3 linked regions of the Drosophila melanogaster genome follow. The protein of the gene in region 3 interacts with the protein of the main gene of each other region in a biochemical or structural test. Each region holds a gene or a part of one and is shown on either strand. Other genes may lie near its edges.

What was found.
Region 1: of the proteins of Ube3a (region 3) and tkv, one has a biochemical effect on the other in vitro, tested with the Drosophila melanogaster proteins (one study listed by BioGRID).
Region 2: of the proteins of Ube3a (region 3) and Atpalpha, one has a biochemical effect on the other in vitro, tested with the Drosophila melanogaster proteins (one study listed by BioGRID).

The regions. Positions count from the first base shown.
Region 1 is NT_033779.5:5,239,445-5,245,866, forward strand, and holds the start of tkv (thickveins), read right to left. Parts: upstream 4,696-6,422; 5' UTR 4,632-4,695; coding exon 4,538-4,631; exon of another isoform or gene 3,255-4,537; intron 3,177-3,254; exon of another isoform or gene 2,775-3,176; intron 2,063-2,774; coding exon 1,925-2,062; intron 1,734-1,924; exon of another isoform or gene 1,662-1,733; intron 1,394-1,661; exon of another isoform or gene 1,322-1,393; intron 1-1,321.
Region 2 is NT_033777.3:20,946,123-20,952,753, reverse strand, and holds the start of Atpalpha (Na pump alpha subunit), read right to left. Parts: upstream 3,975-6,631; 5' UTR 3,949-3,974; coding exon 3,925-3,948; intron 1-3,924. UniProt on the Drosophila melanogaster protein: This is the catalytic component of the active enzyme, which catalyzes the hydrolysis of ATP coupled with the exchange of sodium and potassium ions across the plasma membrane.
Region 3 is NT_037436.4:11,205,345-11,213,594, forward strand, and holds Ube3a (ubiquitin protein ligase E3A), read right to left. Parts: upstream 5,240-8,250; 5' UTR 4,863-5,239; coding exon 4,810-4,862; intron 4,747-4,809; coding exon 4,492-4,746; intron 4,388-4,491; coding exon 3,585-4,387; intron 3,523-3,584; coding exon 3,281-3,522; intron 3,216-3,280; coding exon 2,661-3,215; intron 2,595-2,660; coding exon 2,413-2,594; intron 2,347-2,412; coding exon 1,854-2,346; intron 1,792-1,853; coding exon 1,453-1,791; 3' UTR 1,078-1,452; downstream 1-1,077. Other genes in the region: Plod (procollagen lysyl hydroxylase), read right to left, coding at 390-468; CG7600 (uncharacterized protein), read left to right, coding at 5,593-7,417, 7,475-8,250.

The sequences.
Region 1 (6,422 bases), on a different chromosome or scaffold from region 3:
TTGTCCAATTAGCACCTGTGCTAAAAACCTTTCGATTTGTTCGTTCCATTAACACTGCACTGTTCCCCTCGAAATTGTTTGCTCTTTCGCTCGAGTGGAAATGCGGGGGCTAAAGGTTGATTCTAGCCATACATACATATTTACTTTGAAATCCAGACAATAGAAAATCCATGTTGGATTTTCGAGTATTTCGTGTGAAAAACGCTGGAGGGCAGGGGAACACTATTCCATCCATACAATAAACACAAAACGGGGCCGACACTCCCAGGGAAAAGGCCAGACAAGCTGGCGGGCCGAATGTATCTGTATCTGTAACGAATCCGACTGTATCTCTGGAAATATTGTTAGAACTGAGCATTAGATACACAAAGCTGCAGAGAGGTGAACCCCGGGTCACTGCAACATGGCCAACAGATGTGCGCAACAGGCTCCCAATCAACGAAATCACCAGAAATCAGACAAAAGACGAAGGTCTCGGAAAAGGTCCAAGATGTCACTTGGAGTGTGGCTGGGCCCTAAATCAAAGTCAGGCAATGCTACCCGATTGTTCTTGGTCTTTTTTTTCCTTTTGCTCCGTCAGTCTTTTGGTCGGTAGCACTGTCCAGCATCTCATGGATACCAGTCTGCGTATCTGTATCTCTGCAGCATGGAAATTTTCGTATTGTACCAGAAATTTGTGTCAACGTGGGCGACACTTTATTGTGTGCCCGTGTTGTTGGGTGTGTGTAAAAATAAACCAAAGACATTTCATGTTGTCAGCAACATGTGGAAAAATGCTCGGAATTCGTTTCGTTCTTGCACACTTTTGCAATGAATTAAAATCTGATAGATACACACATGAAAAACCGAAAAACAGATCACCCTGCCACCTCTTCATTAACACCACTAAATCTCCTCTTCGTCAAAAACTGAAGTGCAATTAACCAGGCACCAACTCATATTCGATTCTATCTCAGGCTCCTTTTCGTTCTGCTGCACTTCACGGTCCCAAGGTGAGGTGTTAAAGTTTTATGCAATTTCAACAACGATAAATTATAATTACACGCAGTGCTGGGCATAAATCTACCCACACAATCACGAGGTTATGAAGCACACAGATACTCCTCTGCCACATTGCGAGTTCAGGCGCGTCAAACATAATTTGTAAGAGCATTAAGTATTCCCCCCATTAACACCTTTCGAGGGTGACTCCAGCCGATCGCCTCTATTAATAAATTTCCAAACTGAACTTAATGCCAAAGGAGGGAAGGTCTTCCACTGATGGAATCCAACCGAAGTCTAACGAGAATCGTATGCCACATTTGGCGAGTGTCGTTCACCGTCCTCGATAGTATAGTGGTTAGTATCCCCGCCTGTCACGCGGGAGACCGGTGTTCAATTCCCCGTCGGGGAGATGCGAGAGCATTTTTTCACAATATATTTTTCCAGTTAATAACAATAACAATAATTTTATACATTTTTGAAGCTTTTATTTTTGTTAGCTTTTATGTAGCACTTCTTTCATATGTTGAAACAGATGTATTGTTTTGTTTAACAAACTAAATTCTTCCGTACCCAGGCAATTATTAAATTTAACTGTTAAATAATATATAAATTTCGAAAATTAAAAAGTAACAACATAAATTAAATATCGAACCAAAAAAAAAAAATTATTTACACATCTCCCCGACGGGGAATTGAACCCCGGTCTCCCGCGTGACAGGCGGGGATACTAACCACTATACTATCGAGGATGTTGAACTTAGGTCGCCAAATTCAAAATATAAACTTGCTGTTGATCTATACATCCGAGTGTTATGATCATAAGTTATATTAATCCGAACTAATATTATATATAAGATAAAATAAGATAAGATATGCAAAATATTCGATGCTGATTTATAACACGCTTTTTTAAATCATTTTATTAAGATGGTAGACTCACCATTTTCCACGGTCTTGCTTTTCTCGTTGTCGGCATCCTCATATCCCTCTGATCCTGGTCCAGATCCCATTTCCATGCCACTCAAAGCGGCGGCGGCCATAGCTTCGACGTCTGGCTGAACATTCGCACTGAATTCACCTACGGGGCAAACAGAAAAACGGGCAATACGAAATATAAGTAAATTGAAAAACTGTGTAACTAATTTGTAAACAAAAAAAGGGAGAGCGGGTGGGAGTCTTGGCACTTGAGTTGCTCTTCTGTGGCGCCAGGCAAATGTCAATTAATAATTTAACAACAACAATTGCCCGTTTGTCGGGCGCCTGAAATACGAGATCTTAATTGAAAATAGAAACACATAGGGGCGATGGAGAGGAAAAGGGGAGTCGCACCAACGGAGAATGGGCAACTTCAACTCTCTTCCTGCTGAAAGCGGATGAGCGTGGGCCAACTAGACAGCTAAACGTGTGTCATAAACTTGGTCAAAAGGCCGCAGAATTTAGTGCCTCTCCGCAGACGGCTGCGTTCAGAACCAGTTGCCAGCCAAGTAGTCGGAGAGGCATCTTTAAGATACTGTTTGACAGCTCGCCGAGATTACGTCTAGTTCTGTCGTCTGCACGCCACAGACTTGGAGGATGACGTTCCTCGACGGCTCAAAGCCCACGCAATGAGCGCGACTTGAAGACCAAGAAATCCCCCTTTCTCGAGATACAAAACCGAGGTGCAAAAACCCCACTGTGCAACTTTCAGTGCAAATCAGCGGAAGCGACTCAGACCCAATCTCAGCGAAAGGGGTTAGGCCTCCTGCAGGGGTTTCTGTGTGCTACACTACCCATGTTTCCCCTACACTCACTTTGCCAAAATTAATGAGCAAACTTCATACGTAATTTGATAAACAGAAAAAGTGGTTGGCGCTCATTGGGGTCTTATCAAAACATTAGTTATTATTTATGATGCGTCTCATTTCGAGAGCTGGTATAATATATGTGTGCCACTCGACGGGCAATTGAAATCTCGTACGCGTGTTGGGTGGGCGAGGAAAGTCGCTATTCCATTCCGAATCTGTCAAAATGATAAAATGAATTATGCGAGTGCAGGTCCGATAAAAAGCTGCCATTCATGGAAAATCGGCGGCAATTGCGGAGCGCGAGCAAAGGATAATCTTAATTACGACCATAGAAAGTCGTAAATTAATGGAACTCAATAAAACTTTAGCGTAACATGAGTGGTGTAAATTATGGGAAACCGCTATACACAGTAATAAAAACATTATTAATAAAAAAAAAGTTCAATGATATCGATAGGGGGTTTGCGATATTTTTTAGTTTTGCAACACTTAAGAAGCAATATAATATTTGTTAGCTGAAAGTGCCTTGCTAAAATTTGACTTTCTAACTCCTCTTAGTTTCGAATATTTTCCAGTGCAACCACGAAGTTAACCGAAGCATTGATAAAGCCCATGTCTATGGCTATCGACTATCGCTAATTGATTGAGTGCCTTGCACTTGTCGACTCGAAACCCGCAGACCAAACGACGTAATTCCCCCGACGCGTCTAATATTTTCGCCACTTTGGTGTTGTGTTGTGTTGTGCCTTACACTCTCTGGCAGTTACATAAGCCATCTATCAAAGATTGCAAATTGCTGGGTGGAAAACTCGCGGCTCTTGTGTTCGACACATTTCCAAGAACTCAAAAGCAAAACAAAACACAAACGTGACAATCCATGTGGGTGCAGCCAAAGAACTGCGACCAGGGGAACTGATTTCGTATGGGCAGAACATGGCGACAATAAGCAAAACCCAGGCACAAAGTGGAGCACGTGCAAATTGGCTATCAATCAATATGCATACGGGTAGGAAAATGTACTGCGATGATATAGTTCGCATCGCTTCAAAAGATTCGCAATTACGTAGAAATAAAAGCAAATGCCGACTGCATGGCAAACGAATTGAATGGCTCCCAGCCAAATGGCAAAAATGTTAGGCCTCTATGACACTAGGTCGAAAACATAGTAGGCTATTCTAATGTAAATTCAAACACTTCCATATAGTAACATATTTTTTAATAACATAAAATGAAGAAAATTGATGAACAGAAGCAGCGCAGTCAAAGGATGAGCTAAAGATGCCAGCTTGCAGGAACACCATGAGCAGTCAGGAGCGCACGCAGAACATCAAGCGCTAGATAATGGAGGATGAATTGACCTTGTGCGAGGTCAATACCCTTTCAATCGATTATGAGGCGGCCGGCAAATGACAGTTTAACAGCCGCCACGGAACTAGCTGATCAATCCATTATTGACGATGTTTTTGGAGAAGACATCCTGATGAAAGACTTGCAGCGTAAGAACACCGTGCAGCCCACTTGCTCAACAACGACATCGTATCTTGTCCCATTTGCTTTGAGAAAATGAAGCGCGGTACCATTATGGTGTGCTTGGAACCGCCATCGTTTACTTCAAAGGACTTGGACACCCGTTTCTCCTCCTCGGGATCTTCCACATCACGCTGCACCAAATCGAAATCAAATTCATCAAAGCGAATTCTTCGCAGCTCCGGTTACACAGAGCTGAACAGCAACTCGACTACTCTGCTGTCCAGCGAGGACGAACTTACTCCGCGTCAGCGCCTCTAGTGCAATCTCTTCAAACAGACCGTCGGCTGTCCCAGATGTGGCCTGGAGTTCAAGGGCCACCAGCTGAAGGCGCATCAATCTCTCTGCCAGGGTCGCAAGAAGCACTAGGACGGCACCTTATACGAACCATACATTAAATAAGTTTTTCACAATTTTTCACACAGTAAATTTTCTTCATGTTATCAAAAGTGTGTTACAAGCAAAATATATAAAACAACTGATTGTAAAGTCAAGGCATGCTTATGTATCTAAAATATTGCTTGTTTAAATTTCAAGTCGATTGGTGTCATAAACGCATCTCTCAGATGGTCAGTGAGTGAAAATCAATTGGGTGTGGTCTGGGTAACTGGGCTTTTCAGCGGTTTGCCTGCTCATTGAACCTTGTCCAACTACAAAATGCTTCAAGTACTGCTACATTTACTGCAAAAATGGCCTAAAAATCGCCTTTCAAGTTGCACTTACAGTGGCCCAAAGAAAAACGCGGCCAACATTGTTGCCTGAGATAAGAAAACTTGGCTGGCGAGAGGAAAAACACACAATGAATAATGAATGGCGAATGTACGCCAGATAAACCCACATTGCATTTGTTGTGGGTTCGGGTTCATATTTTCATATTCATATTAAGTGACTGATTGATTGATGGCCCAGGCAACTTGGAGGTTTACTTTCAGTTTATCGTTCGGTAAGTCACACGTTTCTTTCCAAATCGCTCGTGGTTGGGATGTCAACTTGGAGATTGATGGCAGAATGGGGAAGAAAACCCCAAGGCAATCAAAAGTGAAGTAAAATAGGAGTTACGATAGCCAAAATGGGCAATTAGCAAAGTGGGGGTGCGTTTAAAGTTGTGTTTAGCGAAAGTGAATCACATTTCCTACATGTAATACCATGTTTTTGCTGTTTTATAAGATGCTTATGCATGAAGATGGCTAAAAATAGTATGTGTCACACACATTAATTAGAGTAAAACTGTATATTTCGTAACATAAAAATGCTATCTAGAGATTAGTGCTCCCTCCTTTTCACCACCATTAGAAATCCCCTAACCCAGTCGAGATTCTGGCCAGCAAAGATGTTTTGAAACTGGGTCGTCGCCGCTGAGTGCGCGCACTCTAGTAGCAATTAAAAATTTTAAATATTCCTTCTGCTGAACAGAATTTAGCAAACTTGCATTGGCCACTCAAAAATAGATCAAAGTGAAATTTATGTTACAGATTTTGGGTTTTTTTTTTTCTGGGTGGGGAAAACCAGGCGAACGGCGGATGCGAGAGTGGGACGATAGGGCCAAAAATAAATTCCCCGATGCAGCCATTTGGAGTTGGATTCTGTCCATCAACGCGCCGAGTCCATGCTAAATGAGCTGCACCCCCCGCCAGTCCGATGCATCGGCGTGTGAACATTAGTCAAAAATGCGTAAATGAAATCAATTAAAATTACGCATAGCACACGAGACGCATTCGGAATGGAAATCGATGTGTGTTTACACATTCTGCCTACGCGCTCTGCATGGCCTAATGAAGGCACGTCCCCATGCCATACCATCCTATACCACTCCGTCCATACAATCCCATCCAATTCGATCCCCAGGGAATTGGGTATGGGGAATGGTCGAGGGTAAGGGTTGAACCCGAGTGCAATTGGTAATGGCCAACACAAGAAGAAGAGCGGCGGAGCAGGGGATCACTGAGTGCCACTTCAATTTGTTTACAACAAGTTGGCCCGCTGATTGCAGCTGGGCCTCATTTCATACACACTTTAAAAAATCAATTTTCGACTTGCATTTAACGTGCCATATGCACTTGTTTTATATGATGGAACTTCCCTACCACTTATACAATTCCATAATAATTTCTCGCAGTGCATCATTTT
Region 2 (6,631 bases), on a different chromosome or scaffold from region 3:
TTATCGAGCGGTGCGATAATTTGATTCGACTTCGTATAGCTGGATATTTTCGGCTACTGCCAAATTGGCATTTGTCCGCTACTTATTTCGATTTGTTTGCATTTGGCCAAAAAGGCACTTTTTTTATTTTTTTTTTTTTTTTGTGCGATCGTGACTGCAAAAGTAGCTTTATGGCAACGTCAGCAGCGCGTATTAAATTGTATTTAAATTAAAACAAATTACGGACAGGCCGAGTTTGTGTGCAAGTGGCGGCAATTGCTGATATTGTCGTCACATATGAGGCATTAAATTAAATAAAAATTTATTATGACGATTTAAGGAGCGTCGGGCAACAAGCAAAGTGCGAATCAAAAGATACAGGCACAGATTCACACACAATTGAGCTACATATACAACTGTATGTATCTTCTGCGAGAATTCGAACAATCTTTCAATTGTTTGCATCATTTGGAAAACATTTTCCATTCCATTTTCGTTTCGAAATGCCAAGATTTTAACATTTATGGCAGGCAGGTATATGTAGCTATTTTTTTATGGATCTCCAGTGCCAAAAGAAATCCCACGGACAAGTGGCAGCCAAATCCGATTTTAGCGAGTTCTTGCGGGTTATATATTTATTTACTCGATCTAGAATAGTTGGATCGCCCGCTGTTTTTTGTGTTTATTCATTTGTTATGCCTTCCCATTTTACCGGCCAATTGAATCCGAGTAATATTCGAAAGTTATGTCATTTCCTTAGCTATGCATTACAGATTGCCCAGTGGAGCCGGCTTAATCTCGACCCAGCTCGTTTACTTCCTCCCACAATGCGTTCGCGGTAATTGCGGTAATTGTTGTCGTTCAGACAATATTAAGTGCGTGACACAAGACGAGTTCAGAGTTCTGGAGATTCACAAATCTCGTCTTACCGCCCGAAACTCGTTTGAACCGGTGGCGAACAGGAACAATTGAGCCATTGTTGAGCTCCGGCTCAGCTACTTCAGGTAGCTGGACAATAAACTACCCCTTCGGAACTAAGCCACCCCTGAAGGGTAATGATCGATGGACCTTGAGAGACCTACAAGCTGGAGACCAACTCGAAAACAAACGAAAACGAAAATAAATCAACGTACCGCTCTAGAACTTAATCTACAAGTGTTGGTCGAGCGAGTGTTATCTGATAAGCAGACGAAAGGTAAATATAGCGCAAAGGCACAGATACAGATACCGATACCTGGGAAACTGGAGGCCCAGACCCCTAATAGCGGGTTATGCAATCGTTAGTAATTAAGACCCTACCCATTGACGCAAACTGGGCATGTGCCAAATATCACACCGCAGCGAAACAAATCGAAGTCCTTGTCGAATGCAATCTGTGTGCTGGATGTGACAGCAAACAGTCAATGGGCGAGGTGATAATTTCCACATCTTGCGATTATGGCCGCCAATTGATGATGCCCACATAGCGTAGATGGCTTTTTCCAACAAGATCTATTCAAACGGTTTGCCATTGTCAGTTGATTAGATTTTTATTGGCGCGTAATTGAATTAAAACGGCCAATATTGTTTTGCTGCCACGCTTTGATTGCCGAAAGCAAGTCACCACCTCTGTCGGACGGTTTTCTGGTATTTTCCAGTTGTAATTATTATCACTGTCGCTTTTACTGCCATCGGCAATCTGTTAAGTAGTTAACGCGAACCTAAAATCTCCGAGCCGGGTAAAACTGGTCAAAAAGGGAAGGGGCCCGTCTATTCGGGTGCACAAAATATCTGGTTAATATATAGTATAGGTGTGTGTACTACATGTCAACGCTGATAACTGCTGATAGTATTCAAATCCTGGGTGTTAGCATTTAGAACCTGCCATTACCACGTTGGAAGCACATTATTCAGCTTATTTGCCGTCCTCTCCATAAACTCTTAATTGCTTTATCTGCATTTTTCGACTGATAAACGGGTAGATGCATACATACATACATATACCAACTAGTTCTCGTTTTGGCTGGCCCTTAATTCCAAATCATTTACTTATGGAACGCACATTGAGAGGAAGGGAACTTCATTATCGCGTTCTTAGAGCATCGTCAGATTGTAGTTTCATGATTTTTGATGTGCTTTCTTAAATTGACTTCAATTGAAAGCGCATGAGTCAGCATACAAAACGAAGCCACAACGCTGGTGGGGGGATGTGAGATATACTCGTACATAACTCAGCTTTACGCGGATTTGTGCGTGAAATCATAATAGAATTTCCACTGAGCACACTGGGTTAAGATATAAGATGTCGTAGTCCGGCAGATTGAATTATAATAATTATGCAACGTTGTATTCTACACCAACAATATTATCATCAGAATTTGCCCTTGAAAATCCGTTGGGAAATGCGTCATATTTTATAAAATTAATTGTATGAAACCCAACCCAATAAACCCAACCACAAATGTTTTTAAACTTAAAATAATTTGCGTAACTTATTTTGATTCTTAAAATATGCATACCACTACAATACTAATAAAGACGTAATTTTGGAATTACATACTTAATTTTATAACAATACAAATATGCACAATATAATATATATTATAATAATTATATAATAATATCTAAATATATTCTACAAGACACTTTCAAGTCTAAGTGAGGTCTTAAGCGTTCTTTTCAAGTTTTCCCGTTACAAATAATATCTGGACCCACTGTTTGTTGCGAGTGGATTCAGACCGCTTGCTCTATAGTTTTGCATACTTTCGGGCCGTCGAACCAGTATGTGTGTGGGTGCGTGCGTGTGTGTGACCTGCCCTTAGACAAGCCCCAAAATCAATAGAGCTGGCAATACGGACTTAGAATTGGTGGTCTAGCCCTAGGAACAGAACCGAAAGCCCGGGTGGAAACAACAACCCTGGCGAAGAACTCATTACCTTCTGCGGGGTAATTAAGTGGCGTCATCGGTGGGGCATTTAGTAACTAATCGAATGGTGAGGGGGTAGGGAAGGGAAAGTAAGGGCTACGTACTGAGAAAAAAGTACGGTAAGAAGTACGTCGATTTACGCTAATGTGCCAGTGTGTGTAATTAGCAGCGCACTACTCGGCCCAATGACACCAATTCCGGAAGGAGGGAAAGCACGGAAAATGGAAAAATAAACGTGTTATGCAGGGTAGTTTCGTTCTAGAGCTCGAGATTCCAATAATGAAATCTGCGAGATGCGGCGGAATGGGGCGTGGTTCGGGAGGGGCGGCAGCAGTACCGGTTATGTAAGCCGAAAACTGGAAGATTTCCAAGCACGGAAAAGCGAAAAGCTTTCGCGCCGGGAAAGTGGAAAATTTGGGAAACTGGTCGGCCTGGAAATGCAAATTGCGCATGCCAGCTAAGCGCACCTGGAAAGCGAGAGAGAGAGAGACAGAGAGGCAGAGAGAGAGAGAGAGAGCAAGAGAAAGGGAGAGCGAATACAAATTCGAGAAAAAAGTCAAAAGCCAGGCTCTAAGCCCAGGCTATTTTTACAGATCAGCAGGTAAGCGGATATAGGCCCATCCAGATCCAATAGGATTAGTAACTGCGCCCCGTTTCACATTCGATTCCGTTTGCAGTTACCGAAAGCCCGCAAACAAATTAGTAAACTTCGTTGGGCGTCGCCTCGGCTTTGTTGTTGTTGTCGTTGCTTCTCGCTTTTTCACCAGCAACAAAACAAATAGTAGTAGCAGCAGCAGCAGCAAGAACAACACCAAAAGCAATGTACACAACACAGATACACGCACACACCCACACAGCGCACTCGGGCTTCGATTTTTCCCACTAAAAACAACGCCCGCTCAGCGTATCACTTGGCCAATTTGTTTTGGCCCTGGTTCTTTTTGGTTCCCTCGTCATGGTCTAACAACAGTTTAAACTTAACCATTTTCTCACTTAACTAACTTAGTTTTCATCGTAATCCAGGCTTTATTTTTGCTCACCTCGTAATCCGACCTTAACGCCATGTTATTTTAATTTAACTCGATTATTCCCAGGGATGTGGAAAATTTACACAATTCCAACGTATCGATATTTTAGAAGTCGTGACTACCAAATGGAGAGTTATCGGCCTATTGTATCGAATAAGCCGGTGTAGAAATCGGGATGGCAATCGGTTAAGAAAATGTAATTGTAAATATTGCATTATGAATAAAATTACTATTATAATTTGTCAATAGTCCGAACAGTCTGGTTTATTTAAAATGAAAAGTTAAGTATTTTAAATATACCTGGATATTTATTTACCGAAAGTTGTTACTATGCTACCTTCAAATATTAATATCTGGATATGTTTGGATTTCAATACTCTCATTAATAATTGCTAATTTAAAATACCAAGTTAAAAATATGTTTAATTTTTCACCTCAATTTGGAAATAACATACTTTTATGTACTTTTTATATCAACTGCAAGCGTGAAAATTACTGGAGCTGCCAGATTAAAATATACACACTACGATAGTTGCCATCTTGAATATTTACAGATATGGAGAGTTGCCAACGTTATAGTTATGTGTATTCAATTTCAAGAGATAATAAAATACCAAATACAATACGCGCGTCTTCTTGCATTCCAAACATAGGTGGCGCTGTATAAGCAAAATAATTTTAAGTGGCAGATAGAACGAAGTGTAGATGGCGTTCGTTAAACGTATAAATTAGCTACTCTCCAAGAAATGTTCAACTGGACTTGAATCTTCTCAAATTTATTTCCTATGTTCAGTATTGATCGTTGATCATTGTTGCGATGAATGGCTTCAAACGGGCCAGAGATTCTCGAAGGCTCAGCAATTCGACGATCCTGTGGGGAAAAACGCATCTTGGAGATTATAAGTTCAGCTTACTTAAACTAATTAAATTATACTTAAATTTCAAGATACACCTGATACCCCTCGTCATCATTATCCAGCAACTTATCATTGGAAGCACCAACTGAAGGTTCGCCCGAAACCAACAGACCGCGTAATTGATTATAATTAAATTATGAATTTAATTGAGAACACTATTGATAAGTACGAGTCACGATGTGGAACTCAAGACGAAGATCTTCCAATTTGTCAGTGTAATGGAGCTATAAACATAACAATCCTCCAAACGACCAGGCATTTGGAAAACTTATCTCCGTCCGCACAAGATCTCATTTTATCATCCGAAATGCTGACCTCCACTTGGTCGAAGCTGAATTTATCGCAACTCTAAACCCCAAATATAATCAGGATAATTAGATGTCTCAAGTCATTTTGTTCTTGAAGGCTAGCATGTTCTATCTAAGTTAGCTTCCCAGCAAAATGGCATCTAAATTTCTACAGATTCATTCAATTGATCAATTCGGTGACCAATTACAAGGAAATGCCAAATTTGCACACTCTTACAAAGAGCACAGTTTGCACGGTTTCATTTGCCCTTACCTTCTCCGGAAGCTTCAATTGGTTTATCCGGTTAATTAATATTTTGAAATCAATTGTTGTCGACACGAGCACAAACAAGGAAGCAGCTCCAAAGGGGCTGCGGTTGCTTAGGCGAAACGACTTTTCGCTCAGCTGCAGAGCAACCCACTTTCCACTTTGCCCATCCTTTTGCCCGCCCTCTCATCCTGCGGCCCCGTCAATCGATTCAATATCCCATGGCCATTAGAAGGAAGCCGGCTCGACTACAAAATTGAGCCCACATAAGCTGAGGGGAAATCGCCTTGTTGCCACTGCCACTGTCTTCGGGTTTGGCTTTCGCTTTTGCTTTTGCTTTGGCATTGGCTTTGGCTCAAATAACCTGAAAGGCCCAATCAACAGGTGTCTTTGCCTCTGCTGCGTGCTGGTGCTTAGTGTTTCTGTGTGTCTGGGTGTTTGTGGTTCAACAACCGGGCCACCGGCGGCAAGGAGTCAGCTTCACGGCCGAGTCGGATGCCTCGGTGTGTGCCAAGCCAAATGGCGAGAAATAAAACTGGAATAATTCAATAGGAGGCGTGGCCAGCCCACTAAGCCCATGGGTAGGAAGTGGAGGGGGGGGGGTGTGTGGGTATGGCTGCGATGGTTGGATTCAGTTCGGAGAAGGCAGCTTCATAGCTTGCGTAATGAATGTCCTTAGCAGGCTGGGCACGTTTCATGTTTTTTCGTTCATGTTTGCTCTGCCAGGCTCCTGGAATCCCCCATCCAGGCCGCCAATTTGGAGCCAAACGGAAGGACCAGAATGCTGGCCATTAAAGCTCGTGCTCCTCCAGCTCCTTTTGCTCATTTCACTTAAGTTCATTTCGCAATTTAACACTACCAGGACACGCATCAACGAGCTGGCGTCTTAATTTGTGCCGCTTTTTCTGCCTACGCTCATAATAAATGCAAAAAATAGTAAGGGCAAAAAACAAAAAAAAAAAAAAACAAATAAATTTCCAGCAGAGGAAATGCCGAAAATATTTGCATGCAAATTTCCGACCTCCTTCACGCAGAAAAAAGCTGCACACCAGCAGCCGTTTGTCCCGTCAACCGCAATTTGAGTAAATTTAATTGAAGCCCCTTGGCCTCCTGCTCATGCATATTTATTGAGTCGTGGAGGGGACGGTGGGAACGGAAGCGGAGCACCCTTTTTGGGTCCAAGCAACAGTTGCCGCACATTGCGCATACGCCGCGTGTGCCACGGAGTAAGTTTCTGGCGCAGCACA
Region 3 (8,250 bases):
CCGTTTTCCGAGCAATTCCAGAGTAAACGACCGCAGCATCAAAGCGAAACGAAAACAAAAGCAAATTAAAAGGCAAGGAGAGATGTGGTCGGGTGGTATATGGATCATAAACAAATTCTCTGAGATATGTACTGCACATACACAGAAAAAAGTAAGGGGAAACTACATTTCGGACTTTTTATGTTTTGAACGAGAAAAGGATGTTCTAGTTTCTTATCAAGAATGATAAGAAAAAACCAACCGCATCACATCCCTTTTTATCTCTGTGCATTTGTGTAATAAGTACGGCAGTGGAATGCACTTAAGATCGAAAAATATGAAAACATGAATGCAATATAATTTTCTATGGCTGCTGATGAACTCATTCTAGTTAGAAATTAAGAACAAACCATTCCAATTGGACTCGGCATCTCCTTGCGACGTCACGGCCAGCAGCAACAACAACAAGGCGCTTTGTTGTATTCTCATGATGCTGGAGCTAGTTGCTCTCTCTCTCTCTTACTCGCACACACAGTGAAGCACTCGCTATCGGTGGTTAAAAATTGTTATAGTGAACAGTACTTTATACTAGTTGCATTTTTTTGTGCTAAATGCTAAGGAAATCAAAACACCTTCCGCTCCACAAAATATCGGGAGTCCCACCCGCAAGAAACTCAGAAACGCGAATAACAAATGTGTGGCTGCGGCTAAGCCGTTAGAAAATATCGCCTGAAAAAAAGGGCCTAAAAAATCCACTAGTCCCAAGTCAGCTGTTGTGAAATAAGGCTTTCACACCTCTTTTTTTTTTAAATGTGTCTAGACTAAATAAAAAATAAAGTTAACAAGTTATTTTTTAAGTTAAAAAATAAAAAGTACTTCACACCGAAATTTAAATGTCAGCTAGTGTGAAATATTGCTTACAAAATGTTTTGTATTTGATGTTTCTATACTAAATTAAATATGTAAATATAATTTAAATGAATCTTTTTCCACAATTTTAATTTGTTAGTAATCTTAGTTTAAATTAAAAATATCTAATATTAAAAAATATTCCATACTTGCGAAAACCAATCTAAATGGAAAATACATCTGTTTCTTCGCCGAACTACTTTAAATTTATTTAGGAAAATATTCAGCGCGTACTGTTTTTAAATGTGGGTGTTGTTCCTAGGGTAAGTTCACATAATGTAGTATGTGGCGTGTTTATGTGTGTGTTTATGTACAATTAACTGGGCTAAAGAAGGGAAACAAAATCGCGTGTCCGTTCGGTCTGCTCGCTTCGCCGTCGCACCATATAAATTGAGCACATATATTGGGTATGTATATATTGTCTCATTGAACAGGTCGTATCAAAAATAAATGGCAGAACCCAAAACGAACTCAAACCGATCAAAGTCTTCGAAATCTTCTTCCCAGAGAGGTGGTGGTATCAGTTCCAGATGACAGACTTGCACTTGCAGTTTGGACCATAGTCTACAGCATGCCGAAGCCCTTCGAGTAGTTGATGGCCTTCATCAGGCGCTCCTCCAGCTTCTCGCGGCTGCTGTACTCGGGCAGGAGGAGAACGTTGAAGCAGGTGTGCGAGGTAGGCAACCGATCGCTATCCGGACCGTGACGCGTGATTAGCAGACGCAGGCATTTCAGGCCGCCAACCGGAACACGCGCCGATCCCGTCGTGAATTCGAGCAGCTTGTGCTTGTCCTCGCTGGGCATCGCATGCACTATGCTCCAGAAGTCCTGGATGTACTGGCTCTTCTCCGTGTAGCCGCCCTCGTACACAGTGGAGTTTTCCAGTTCCACAAAGTCGAATTCCTGCCGAAGGTTTCAGAGTTCAGCAACCGAATGAATTTCGTAATTTGAATTTAGCTACTCACACGACTGCCGCAGACCAGCATTTCAATCTCCTCTGGACGGAAGAGCAGCTTCAGTGGCGATTCGTCCGTAACCATTTCGAAGCCCTTGCGGAAAGCATTGAACTGCTGTTCGATATTCGTGTTAAGCAGGAAATCACTGTACAGGTTGACAAACAGTTCCTTGTTGTGCTGCCCCACCAGTACATCCTGGCCGTTCGGCACCAGTTCGTGTTGTACCACATCACCGAAAACATCGCTATAGCTAATCTTGAAGGTCTGTTCGAATACCTCCTCCATATCCTGGCCCTGATAGTCCAGCATGGACTTCAGACTCTTGTACAGCGCCGGACTCCAGTCGCTGAGGTCTGCGAACGTGCCGCAATAGCCTATCAACTTGCGATAGACCACCATGGGGAAGTTTACGGCCAGGGTGACGTTGTTATAGATCGCCAGGCCAATAATTATACCAATCAGAGTGAATTGCGCTCCGTTCTCAAATGGTGTGGCATTGAACCTGCATATGTATATATATATATTTATATAGTTCAACTGAACAGATTTATCCCAATTGAATACCCACCACATATTGTTGGTCTCCTCTTGCTGTATAAACATTCCAAAAGCCGGGTTAAATATCTCCTCCACGATTAGCTGGAAGAACTCTTTGGATACGCCGCCTTCATCGATCCCCTGCTCGCCGACAAACTCCACCACCAACTGCTTCTTGAGATCCTTTGGATTGCTCATGGCCACCATTTCCAGCTGGGGAATTAAACGTGTATTAATTACGCCTGTTAACTAGGACACTAAAGAACCATTTGTACACACCCCAATAAGTGCGTCGTTGATGAGCTGGTCCCTTCGCACCGTCAGCTTAAGATCCGGCCGAGGATTATCTTCCTGTCCTACCTGGCCAATATTGTTGAGGATGGAGTGAAGGGAGGAGTAGCGCTCGCTATACATCCTCATTCGACTGTCATAGTACAAGGCATCCACTTTTGTTGACGGCGTGAGGATAAAGGCGTACAGCATGAACGAAAAATAGTTCGCGTGGCCGGAACCAATCTCGCTCTCCATGGCTAACGTCTTGTAGGACAGGTAGTCGTGGTGCATCTGAATGTTTTCACTGAGTGCCTCGTTGTAGAACTCCTCAAGTGGTATCAGTGGTTTCCGGCAATCGATTGCCGACACCTGCAGCTCCTTTTCAAACTGATCCTCGGCGAATTTGGGCATGTGCGGCTCCAACAAAGAGTTGTAGACGAATAGGTCGTCCTCCACTGCTGCGCTGCCAGATGCGGTCGCCGCTTCCGTTCGATCCTCCAGCGGCACCCGACACGACGGTCGCTCCAGCTCGCTAGCCAGAATGTTCGCGTAGAAGACAATCTATCACAGAAGAAGTTAACCCAACTGCATTACAAGCCATATTGCATAATAAACCTAACAAATACCTTTAAAACTTTGGTGACACTGATTATGGATTCGTTCTCGCGCATGGATTCCTCGTCCAAAAGCACCTGTAGAGTAATTTGCTGCTGGCAGGCTGCGATCAACGAATGCAGCTGATCTGAACAATGAGCAGCCCAGATCCTGGCCAGGCGCGCCTGTGCCGGCACTGGCATGGCCGACGCCGCTTGGCACAATTTTGGCAGCACCCTGTCCAGATAGTCCATGTCCACCACACTGTTATTGGCTAAAGGGTTATGAGAAAAGCTGTAACTTGAAACATTCCAGGCATACAATTGAAAAACTCACTATTGGTGGCTAGATCAAAGCAGATGACCAGACAGTGAATGACCCTCTCCCAATCCGTACGCATGTAAATCACCCAGTCAGACAGCTGAATAACGCTGCTGGTAAGCTTCTCCGTTATAGCTCGTATTTGACAGCCAAAAAGGAGACGCTGCACTCGTCGCAAACCGGGCAGATCCACCAGTGTGTCGCTGCTTTGGGATGAACACACATCATCGTCCTCTTCTTCGGGCTCCGCCTCTGATTCGACTGATTCTGCAGTAGCAGTAGCATTAGCCGCCGATTCTGATTGTTCGTCCACCTGTTGTGTACTGTCTTCGTCTTTATCGTGTTCCCCTTCCAAAGTTCGTAGCTGCTCCTTGTTTAAAGCCCCCGGTGAATTGGCCAGCAGCTCCTGGAGACTACTAGAAGCCGCTGGTTCTGCGCTGCGAATGAAGCTCTTGCCCAGTCTATCTACGCTGGAGAACACAACGCCGATTGCGTGGCAAATCCTGTCGTAACTGTCAGCCGCCCTACATTGCTCATAGAGCGCTATCAGACTGTTGGCATCCAAGCTGTGGACTGGCGCCAGGGTGGGTGTACACGGTTCCGAGTCGCCGGAGGAGTGTTCAGCGCCGGCGATATCCAGTTGCGGCACACTCTGGGTAAGATATGGACTGGATACGGGCACTACAACGGCAGCTGGCGTTGACTGCGATTGTCTGCTGGTTGTCGTGGTGGTACTGGCTGAGGTAATTGTGCTTGTCGAGCTGCCGCTGCTACTACTGCTACTGTCGTTCGGCGAAAGCATGTCCACGTCCTGGGGGCTAAAATGGGAAAAAATTTAATTGAAAGATAATTACCTATAGAAAATCTTATCGGTGCTCTGGAAACTTTGCTACCCAGTTCCATTTGTTAAGAGAATTCTCACCTGTTGGCCTCCGATGTGAACGCCTCGCAGAGCTGTGCATCCTGTGAAAAGAGCTGCAGTGCTCTGGCGGCCACCTCGTTGGGCGTCATGGGCGCCACCTTGCCGCTGGAGGCGCAATTGGCATTGCTGCAGTTGGCGTTCCCACAGCCGGATTGTAGTTGGTGGAAGTATCGCTTGATTAGGCTGCGCACCGCCGAACGCTTCATTTCGGGCGTGGCTCGCCCGCCCACCGCTCCAGCTGCAGATCCTGATGCACTGATGGGGGGCAAAGAAAATCAGATTTAATATGCCACAACGTAAGTAGCTGAAGTTATTCACCTGGAAACACCTGGCAGATGCTGATCATCCTCGCCACCCCCGCCACCGTTCATCTTCGCTGAAATCTGCGCACTTTACGCCCCCACCGCCGCCGCCCCTTTCTTTGTTTGTCGAAAGTGATTTTGCTCCACTCACAAAACGAAATGGGAGCAAAAAAAAATCGATGTTGATGTCCCTTTTTTGTGTCGCGGCTACCTAAAATTCTTATGCTGAAGCTACTCAGCCGCTGCCGTTGCCTCTGTTGCCCGCTCGTCGAGCGCTGAACGCCGACTTCCTTGCAATCTGATAGCAATCCTTTAAAGCTCGATAATTCGTCAACGTTTTGACAATTTTGACTGTAATAGCGTAAGTGTTTATGAATGAAGCAGGCAGCAACGAATATTGAAAATCATTCTAAACGATGTGCTATCGATGAACTAGTGATATCGACAGCACACCGATAGGCACATTCTTTATCGGACAGTATTGTTAGTCACTGCCGATAGACGTCCGTTGGATGTTTGCACTTTTAAACGTGATTGTGAAACTCCAAGGGATATTATGACTAATACTAATAATAATCGAACTATCGAAAAACTGGTTGCTCGCCAGTGCTGCAAAACACCGGCGGTCTTATCAGCTGTCGACGTATGAAACCAATAACACCGTGTCCGTATTATCGGATCTATCGTTCCTCGAAAAAAAAAGAAAAATAATACGCAGGAAGAAAATACTGGATTCCGTAGCCGGAGCGAATGCAATGAGTTAGTCCGACCAGCCGGAGAAACCAATCCGAGTCGCAAGATGACGGAGCAAGAGGATTTGGCCACCAGCGGAGGTGGCAATGCGACCACTGGCTCTGGAACCAATTGCCAAAACCAACTGCAGCAATGTGTGCGTGGGAATGTCACCTGGGAACTGCTGCCCGTGCACCTGCGATCGGTTCTGCACAACAATCAGCGTGACTACGAGAAGTTCGTCTTTAACTATAGTCTAAAGAATCAGCTGAGGTTCCGGGGCAACCTGGCCGCCAAGGTGTTTCGCCGGGAGCAACGCTACTACGAGCTATTGATACAGAAGAGCATCAATGGATTGGGCGCATTTCCCTACCACCTGGCCGATATCGTCACCAAGGGCTTGAGGGTGACGCCCTTCAACTACTATCTGGATGTTTTGGGTCAGCTTTTGCAAAGCGACAAAAGCTACGATACTTTGCCCAACTTTACAGCAGCCGACTGTCTGCGTGTCTTGGGCATTGGCCGCAACGAGTACCTGGCCCTTATTAGCGATATGAAAACTCACACACCGCGCTCCTTGATCTTCGGGTCGCGGCCCAATCCGCTGGACTTCCTGCCACGCTTTCCGGTGCGCATACACATCGAGCCCTGGTGGCGACTGGACATTGGCTATGTCCTGGAAGCGGATATTCGCTATCTGTCGCCCGCTGAAAGAGGCCTGCTCGATGACTTGATTGACTTTGGAGCCCAGCCGGCTGGGAAATGCGATCACGACGTGGTGCACAGCCTGTACCGGAAGGGTTTGATCTACTTAGATGTGCCCATTAGCGGGGAGGACAGGATATCCATACCGCCGCTGCGCAACTTTGTGATGAATCGTGTGAGCGGGGACTACTTTGAGAATCTGCTGTACAAGATCTTCGTTAGCGCGGATGAGCACATGACCATTGCCGAGTTGGCACAGATGCTGCAACTGGAACTGGATAGCGTTAAGCAGGCCATATCGTTTATCTGCCGTCTGGGTTTCGCACATCGCAAAGAAGATCTGGTCAATCAGACGAATCATTCCAGCTGGGAGGGATACAACCAGCAGCAAACGCCAGATACGCCGCAGATCACACCGCTGAACTACAATTTGCATACCAGTAGCAGCTTCGAATTCGACCAAAGTCCCAAATCGCCAAAGACACCCAAGGAAAGGGAGAAGGACAAGGATAAGGACAGCAGTTCCATAGGCTACCTCTCCTCGGATGGCAACACGAGTGACTTCAGCTTTGCCAACCTGAATACGACACCCCAGGAGAGAGTGAACAACAGCGATGAGCAGGAACTGAGTTCCGAGCTGGAGCAAGAGGATATGTGTGCCCCAAAGCAGGCTGCTCCATCGGCTGCAATATCAGCGGCTGTCTTGCCAAAAAGCGGTAAGAGGGTGGGCTTTCTCTTCGACTCCACGCTCACCGCTTTTCTAATGATGGGCAATCTGTCGCCCGGCTTGAAGAATCACGCTGTGACCATGTTTGAGGTGGGCAAGCTGTGCGAGGAGAGTCTAGACAGTTTTCTGGCTGAACTGGAGCAAGTTTCGCTGCTGGATGCGGAAGGCGAAGGCGACGTGTCGCGCTATTTCGCCCACGCAGTCATTCTGCGTTCTACCATTTGCTCACTGCGACATTTGCTGCCGGGCGGTTTAGATCTGCTGCGATTAGAGTGCCTAGAGGGTTTGGATCAGCAGACAAGAGATCGCGTTCTGGAGAAGAAGTACAAGTTTATAATAGCCGCTTCGCCGCTGACGGCGTCGCTCAGCCATACATTTAGCATTCCTTACTTCGGCCAATTCCTGCGCAGCTCCGATGTGGCGCCCATGTGGAGCAAGCTATTCTACAATCATATCACAGGTAAACTTCTTTATATTGTTATCCCACTAGTTATTCTCTAAATACCTATATATTCAGGCTATGGACCGCCTAGTTTGCTACTCTGCCGGGGAACTGTTTTGAAGACCTTGCCGCGCTTGTTCCTGGGCTATGGCAAACTGCTGGTGAACATCCTGCACTCTGATGCGTATGTGCTCAATTCCGAGAATTTCCGCAGCCTGAACTCTCAGCTCAAGAACGGCTGTGTGCTGCTCCAAGGCTACGGAATCCGCACGGCCGGCGCGCTTCACTATGAATCATTTCCGTTCCAAGCGGCAGACACACGCCAAGCGAAGTGGGCTGCCCATCGGGCCGTACACAAACTGTCCAGCCTTTTGGACCTGCGTCAGCAGTGCGGCTACATAACATTCCTGAACACTGGAGTGCCGGATCTCGGTTGCGAGGACTACGAACTGCAGGTGCGACTGAAGCCGGCGCAGCGTCAAAAACGAACTTCAATTGCGGCGCCCAGCAAACCCAACCATGTGCCAACGAACGAGGTGACAAGCTTTCAATTGAAAAGCCCAGATGAAAACCACTTTGCGGCCACGCCGGAACATGGTCCTGCGAATGAGTTCACTGCTCCGGATTGCAGCCAAGTGCTGGCCAGTGAACTGGCCAAATGCAGCAGTCGTGCGGATCTAGTGTCGCAGAGTTCGGTGGAGATCGAGGAGATTTCGCCGTCGGTGGTGCAGGAGGAGGACGCCACTGAGGAGTGGACCCTGCTGGACGTCAATTTTGGCGTACCACTATTCGATGTCGATACCAATACGAGAATTTGCGAGCAACTTGTCCAGGGACTCTGTAGCGATGCT